Drosophila melanogaster: one gene and its partner. The protein of the gene in region 2 interacts with the protein of the main gene of each other region in a pairwise test. Each region holds a gene or a part of one and is shown on either strand. Other genes may lie near its edges.

Region 1 (2,927 bases), on a different chromosome or scaffold from region 2:
GGATTCAGGAAGGTTTTATTCTACTTTGAAGCGAAAAACTTCTGGACATAATTCTTTCACTCACATCCCCTCTGGAGACGCTCTTTGGTAGCTATCAAAAATCGGGACATGGTACTTGCTCTTCACTTCCCTTCTCTGTGGGAAGAGACCTTTGATTTTCTTAGCCAAGTGTTTGCCTAGCAAAATATAAAATTTTTTTCGCGTCACAAACTTAAAAATCTCAATTTGATGTCAATATCAAATGTTTCTGAATTGAACCACTTTTCTACGAGTGTGTTTCATAGATTCGTAAAAAATACGATTCTACATCTGCATAAGAAATTGTACGGTCTCTCGGGTGGCACAATTATATAGAAGACCATCCATGGAGGAAATTTAGAATATTTCCCAGGTATTGCCAGATCTCCAAATCAGTTAACCCGAGTTCCCGAAAAAATGAGTAAATGCAGTGAACCAGTTTTCAGCAGACTGCACTTGGTTGGTGGTGATAACAAGCCAGATACACAAGCGTACAACTAGAAAATCGTGTACGATAATTTACACAACGGTTTTCGTGTAAGACACAAAAGCTCGGTCGATAAGAACAAGATACATAACCCCGGTGTAGACTAGACTACGGTATAGAGGTGAAAGGGGGGGGAATAGCCAGAACTGGGAACCCACACCCCATTCCCATTAGCATGTTTCGGAAAGAGAATTTCACGGAAATTTATGATGCCCAAAAGAGAACACACCTCGGTGAAGGTGTCACGTGCGCTGTCAAAAATCGGTTGGTCCGAGACGAATGCATAATGCGGAGTGGACAACAGTCAGCCAGACTTGAAATCGAAAAGTGGCTTGGCGATAAAGAAGTTAAGGCTAATCGCAGAATGCGGTCAACAAACTGGTTCTTTCGATCTTTCGAACCAACAAGTGGGTGGACGTCGCTGAGTGGGTGAAATGCAATTGGAACCATGAAAATAAATTGTTTATTCAATAACCAATCATACAAATCAACGACGGAATCGCAAGTGACCGGGACCCCGCTTGTAGAGTCGCTTCCTTCTCTTGTTATCCCGACGAATGGCCACTATCGCAATGAAGACGAATCCCAGATAGAAAACGGCGGCTACAAAGCACCGTGTGGACACGTCCTGGTAGGCCTCGTCCGCCTGCTCCTTGAAGGCCTCCTGACTGGGGAAGTGGTGGGGCAAGGGCAGGGACTCCAGGAGCATCAGTGACTGGACGTAGAAGAAGATACCCAGCAGATTCAGCATCAAGAAGCCCCAGGCGCTCATGAACAGGCAGAACAGACAGCACTTGCGACCACAAAACATTTTCAAGCTCGATTCAATTCTATGCGAACTTTGTGCGACAGTGTAGTCGAGTGTTGCTCTGACCGCAACAGGTGCCAAGTTTAAGCCGACTTCGAAAGCGAAACCGAATCCGAAATCGAAATCGGAATGTATTGGACCACATACTATTCATCCATCTATCTACATACGCTCGTACACAAGTACAACCTTGTGCGATTTCAGCGGCATTAGATCAGAGTGGTCGGAATATGGAGTTCACGTACCCGTGCCTCTCGCTTTCGGCGGCGTTGCGATTGGGTTTGTTCAACTCGAAATGGCTTAGATTCGGATTTGATCTTAGCCAATGATGGACAACTGACAGATATATCATTTGCACACATACATATGAGTATGATATAGAAGCAGCTCAACTTATTAACACTTGAAAAGCACGTCAAAAAAACGATGTATACAATATACTTCAGAACATCAAGCTTATGCAGAACGAAGACCTGCAATATATTTGATATTTCAAATCAGTGGCTGCATTTAGTTCTGCGTATTTATATATCAGAAGTGATTTTTAGAGAACTGAATGTAGGCCATGCCAACCAAGTAGCTGATTCATTAAAGGGCAGCCTCTGATTTGAATTCCCCTTGTGAATCATGCTCAAGAAATTGCAATAAAAATAGCCAACTAAATAAGTTTAAGCAATAATTAGCACAACTTACCGTGAGTGGTTGATGTTCTCGATAAATCCGCAGAGCAACAAAATTTTTGCCACACTTGCAAAGAAGAAGCAGCAGAAGAATTCACAATAAAGTTTTTACTAGTTTCTTGAAACTCCGTTACAAAACATCAAGTTGTTGTGAAAATTCGTAAGTCGTTTTCGCGGTTGCTAAACCTTTTTTACACTCTGTTGTTTTACTAACGTTTCCTTTATTATGTTTGTTTATGCGAATTGTCGTTAGTTTTATGGGTTACTAGACACGATTAGAGAGAAATCAAAAATTAGGAAAATTAAACAGAATTGATAAAATATTTTTTACTTATTGCACCACGTGTTGCAACTTGAGACATAATAGGTGTCAGCTCTAATTGAGTAAATATGTTTTGCTGGTAACTTAAGCTGCGGATTTCGTACAGCCACAGAAAATGGGGGTCAAGTCCATTAGGTTAAAACCCGATCCCCAAGCGAAAGACCTTGACATTAGGGCGGTTGCTCACTGAACTTGGTAATATCTTAAGTGTCTCGAATTCCCTTTGCGCAAATCAATCAACTTGTCTTATGAGAGCACGAAGAAAAATGAAAATAAGATCACTACATTTTTATTTAAATGATATTTCATAGCTTATTGATATATTTCTAATGAGTATTAACCTAAAGTTTGATCTTATATTTCAAGAGACGGATGTCAAAATATTATTCTTCGCTGATTATTTTCTCAGTGTGGGATTTCAGTTACAGTTATATGGTTGTTATTTGCCTTATTTGCTTAGCACATTCTTCTTTACAATCACACAGACACTTGCTTTGATTTGTGTATTCGTTTTTGTTGTAAGCGCAATTATCAGTACAAACATTTATAATAAAAAAAATTGCAATTTCAACAAAAAAAAGTGTTTAGCTTTCAGTTTAACTTTTAGCTTGA
Region 2 (5,302 bases):
TTTGATTTATTACGAGCAGTAATTTTGGGGAAATTTTATATCTGAAGGAGTCTTGGAACCTTATGGGAAAAGTATCGTTAGCTAAGTGTTTGTTTTTTGTTTGGAAAGTAAAGTTCTCATCGAATGTAAAGTAACTTTAAGCCTCATAGATCTGTGTTCAGTGAGTACTCAAGTATTATCAAGACTAAACTCAAGCTTAACTCAATTGCAATAAATAGTCGTACATGGTTTCTTCAAATCACACGTAGGATTATAAGATGTTAGGCGATTTAAACAAACGATCGAGCAAAGTGGCATGTATGTCATATAAATATTCATTAGCCATTAGATACATACGTATCTGAAAAAAACATTTTTTCTCCTTTGAAAGTTAAGATTTCCATTAGTTTTTCTAGTTCTATATATTATTAAATTTGTTCAAAATAATCGTCCACATCTTTTGTTCTTTCACTTTCACAAGCTTACACAATCTATGCAGGATCTTACATCACCTTTTTCCCGGCCAATCGACTGGCCAATCGACAATGTCACTGGCACAGGAACAAATATTTTAGCGGTTCCGCGAGTCAAGTCTTTTATAATTTGTACTCGTAGTAGGTTATTTCTTAATCCTTTTGGAACGGCAATCTAATTTGCAGTCGCTTCCTTGCCGACAATAGTCACAAATCAATAATCAAACACAAAGCCAATCGGCCAGACAGTGAGGCTGGCCAGAAGACATTTCATTTCATTCAGTAAATTTCACTTTTAAGCGACCAGCGCGACCGATGAAGATAGCAGCTCTTCGAGCTTCTGCCGCCGAAACCGACAGACATTCGCACGGCCTCGGGTTTTGGGACAAAACCTGGGATCTTTATGGAGGAGCCAGAGGTTCAGGCGCTTCAGGTTTCGCTTCGCTTTGCCAGTGCCACCAACCAGTGCATCCGTTTCGAAACGCGTCCGTTTGTTAACTGATTTCGCGTGGTCTTGGCCAAAACTAAAATTCGAAACTGTTAAAAGCGGCAGCGTCGTCGACGCAGGCAGCAACTCGACTTCGGCTTCGGCTGAGATTTTCAGGTACATCGAACCAGCTGAAAAGCAAAGAGCCTGCACTTGTCTTCGTGGTGTTGCCGCCGTCGCAACGCTTTTGACCAACGCTTTTGGCCAAAGCGAATCCATAAAGACACGCGTCGCCAGCGCAGTTGGCAGCGCCGTCGACTTCGTCACCAAAGTTGTCGTCTTTTCGCTTTTGTTGCTGCCTGTTTGTAGTCGTTGCCCAAAGGCAGACTCACTTTTCACTACCTGCAACATGTTACCGCTGCTAGCCAAGAATTCTGATTAGGTTTGATTTTATTATCTTTCGATATTTGCAGAAATTTCGATTTTAAAAAAGACTAAATAAAATTCTATTGCCAACATCGAAGTAGGTTCCTTCTAAAATCCAAAGGAATATATCATTTTAGTTCTATACCCTAAAACTTACACTTTCGCTGCCACTTGTTGCATAAAAAGCAAACATCCAAAATAAATTTCTACTGGCAATCGGGTCGTAAAATATGTTAAAAGCTTTGGGCAGCAAAAACAATTGGCAATAGTCATGACATGACTGGCTGTCAATTGGCGTTGCTGTTGCTGCTGGGCGTGTGCGTAGTTGAGGGGAAGATTAGAGTAAGCCGACAGACATGCATACGAAACTCGTCAGTATGATAAAGAAATAAAATAAAATAAAAAAAGCAATGGCAACGGCTGCGGAAAGATTATGCTGTTTTCTGGCCACAGAGCCTCCCTTTGTCCCCCTTTTCTTTCGACATGTTGAAGGTGTCAATAGGCGCAGTGTTGCAAAAACATCGCACAAAAAGCGTAAGGCAAATCGAAAGACTCTGGCAACGAACTTGACGCATGACTTTCGAAACTTAGAATGGCACAACACGCAAATATCTAGCCACACTCCTAAATACCTGTCGTCACAGAACATTAAATGTTTGCAAATCATTCCACTTTCTTTTTTCCCTTGTTTTCTTTTTGCTGAAAACTTTGACAAGAACTAAGTAAATTCAACGCTTTTGGCCCATTTTCAGGAATGAAAAACCAACTTAATTAATTTCACATTACTAAATGCAATCGAAATTAGTTAACAATTAAAGTCAAATGACTTTTAATTTATTACGGTTGTTTTTCTCCGATGCGAAATCGAGTCAGAGTAAGGACCAAATCATCGCAAATCACTGTAATGTAACTCACTAAATCCCCCCACGGTAATTTGTTTTCCTCCTTTTCTCCCGCCTTGAAATCACCAATTGGATTTCCTCAGTCAGTTGGTCATTTGGCCAGGCTCGTTAACTTGTTCAGTGGCCACTTGCAAGGCCATCTTGCCATCTCAAGTGCAGCATTTGCCAAGACACCCCCGCCAGCAAGTGGGAACCCCCTTAATTAGCGCATGTGTTGTTGCATGCGGCCAATGTTGCATGTGGCCAGCTATCTGGCAGCCCACTCGGCCGTGTAAATTGTATCAATAAATTTATTGATTTCAACTGTTGCTGCTGACTTGTTTAATATTTTGCGACGATTTATGTTGCAGGCATGCAAATTTTAGTATTTATTTGCTTTGTCGGTGCACCAGAGGAACCGGCAACTGATGGCGGCCAAGATGACGCTGCTACGGCTTTAATGAACATGTCGTCTCCGCCGTGTCGTCGCTCTCGGGAAAGAGTCATCAAAACACACACGCATGGCAAATTTGTGTGCTCCGGCTGTCAGCTCTTGTCGCGTACCCCTCCACCCCCCGCCCATCACTTCCTGCTACACTATAAACAATATGCAAAGGAATGCAATCAATGTTAAACATATTTTCCAGGAGTTTAGTGGCTCTTGGTTACAACAAACATTTCGAGGAAGTTAATTAATAAATAAATTAAATATAAATAAATTTGGATGCGGTTAGGATTATTTTCTTTCGTACATAAATTCATCCTTTATTAAGGCTTATTTTAAAAACTTCCAATAAAATTCTTTAACATAATCAAGATAACTTATATATATATTTTTCTGATCGATCTAATGTTGTCTCAATGTTTTTGAGTGCATTTCTATGTCCTGCTCGTGCCCGTGTAGCTTAATGACAGAAATTAGGCAACCTTTCACTGGCACATAATTTCACCCACACACACACACTCGCACTTGCAATGACTTATACAAAGACATTTCCGGCACGGGGCGAGAGTTGGTTTGTGTTTTCTTCTCATTTTGGACTTTGGTTGGTTTTCAGCAGTTTTTTTTTTTCCTTTTTTTTTGGAGCGTCTGCACACCCATAGAACACTTTCGTTCACTGGCCAAACGAAGACGCGGCTCGCACATATTTTTATCGCTTTGCATTTGGGGTTAGGGCAATTTCTACGGCCATCGACTTGCCACTTGCACCGCCTGCCATGCATGCAAAATTAGGTGAAAAGCACTGCCGCCCCGAAAAGACGTCGCCCGGCGCATTGCTAATTAGATAAACAAATTTTTGCTTTTTGTTGCGACGCACCATCGACACTCGCACACAGAAGCGGACACTCGCTGCCGTACATTGTTGCACGCACTCGAGTTATTGAAAAGTGAAATAAGCCGCGAAAGGTGGCAGGTTGAGCTGTGGAAAAAACCGAATTTTATATGCTCTATCATACACAAGAATAGAAGAAATATGCAAGGCAAATATATGTTTACTACATTTGTAATGCACTTTGAATTTAAATAGTATCTTAAATATCATCTTAAGTACTTGTTAAGCTGGTAATTAATCGAATTTTGATTAGGTTAGATGCGTTTTTTTTAAATTATTTATCAATGTATTTATCAAAGTGCAGCGACTCATTCGACTGGCAGTGCGGTGATAAATACACAAGCAGTCCGATGTTTAGTTTCTAAAAAAGAAAGTGAAATTCGAATGCGGACAGAACGAAGCGCAAAGTGCGCGGCCCAGGCAGCTCCCAACTTGGCCAACTTGGCCAGGACCAGGCCAATACGACAACAACAGCAACAACAAAAAACAACAATATCGACACCAACAAAATGTAAAAGAAAAGCAACACAACAAACATAAAAACAAGCGGCTTAAAAACCTGACTGAGCTGCAACCAGCGGCAGCGAGTCATTCACAAGTTGTGATGCTAAACAAATATGACTAATTATGGAGGAACTGACGCACTAAACAGCGCCACATAATGCGCCCGTCGTCTCGGTTTCGACGTAGATGGTCCACGGTCCATGTCCACGGATGGAGCGCAGTTCGGACCGGTTGCCGGCGGCCAAAACCAACACCCGCAATTTCGCCAATTCGTGGAAAAGCGCTCGATTGTATGAATGAAATGCGTTTTACGCGACAAAGTAGATACCGATCGTCACCAGCAGTTGTACACTTGAAAAATATGATACTAACTTAATACAATATAAATAGAAATATTCAACAAAATGAATAGCTACTGACTTAAGTAGTTTTTTAAAACCAATATTAAATCTTAATTTGGGATCCTTCAAAAGTGACTTTAAACAATTGTTAACACTTTGCTAACATATTTTCTCTAAGTGCAGTTTTCTCTGGTCGAAGTGAGTAATACCTCCTACTAACCGCTCCGCAGATCACCTGCCCACAGGTCATGGCACAAGTTCATCAGGCAAGTCGGATGGCAGCCGGGGCAGATTCAGATTCGTTGGCTGCGATATTGGTGACCACAATATGTGGCGACACCGACCACGCCAGCTGCACATCAATCGGTTTCCCTCCTCCAAGGCCGCCTCGAAGGGGATCCTCGAAAGGGGCGTCTGGGTGGTGGACGAGGGTCCAACGCTGCGCTGGGGCATCGCACCCGTCAGCCTGATGGCGGATGACTTTGCCGCGGCGCTGAGTGTCCTGCCCGAGCAGCACCATCGCATCGTGTCCTGCGTGGCTGCCTATCAGTCGCATGCGCTCGCCTTCGCCGAGCGCCATCAGGTGGAGAACGTGTACACCAGCTTCGAGGATCTGGCCAAGTGTCCAAATGTCGGTGAGTTTATTACATTCTATTACATTCTGTGAAGCATCTACCTACTGATAACTTTATTCGAGCGCAGATGTAGTGTACATCTCTCCCCTGAATCCACAACACTCGGAGCTGTGCCACCTGATGTTGAACCACGACAAGCACGTTCTGTGCGAAAAGCCGCTCTGCATGACGGAGGAGCAGGTGACCAAGCTGCTGGAGAAGGCGCGGGCGCGCGGCCTGTTCCTCATGGAGGGAATGTGGCCAAGATGCGTGCCCGCCTATCATTACCTGCGGCATCAGATACTGCGAAACCGTTTGGGAGA

What was found. The genes of interacting proteins can lie anywhere in the genome.
Region 1: the proteins of CG13272 (region 2) and CG11269 interact in a two-hybrid assay, tested with the Drosophila melanogaster proteins (one large-scale study listed by BioGRID).

What each region holds. Positions count from the first base shown.
Region 1 is NT_033778.4:22,137,331-22,140,257, reverse strand, and holds CG11269 (uncharacterized protein), read right to left. Parts: upstream 1,364-2,927; 5' UTR 1,317-1,363; coding exon 993-1,316; 3' UTR 963-992; downstream 1-962. Other genes in the region: gom (gomdanji), read right to left, coding at 65-110.
Region 2 is NT_033779.5:16,802,969-16,808,270, reverse strand, and holds the start of CG13272 (uncharacterized protein), read right to left. Parts: upstream 3,388-5,302; 5' UTR 3,009-3,387; intron 956-3,008; exon of another isoform or gene 492-955; intron 1-491. Other genes in the region: CG13280 (uncharacterized protein), read left to right, coding at 4,596-5,000, 5,068-5,302.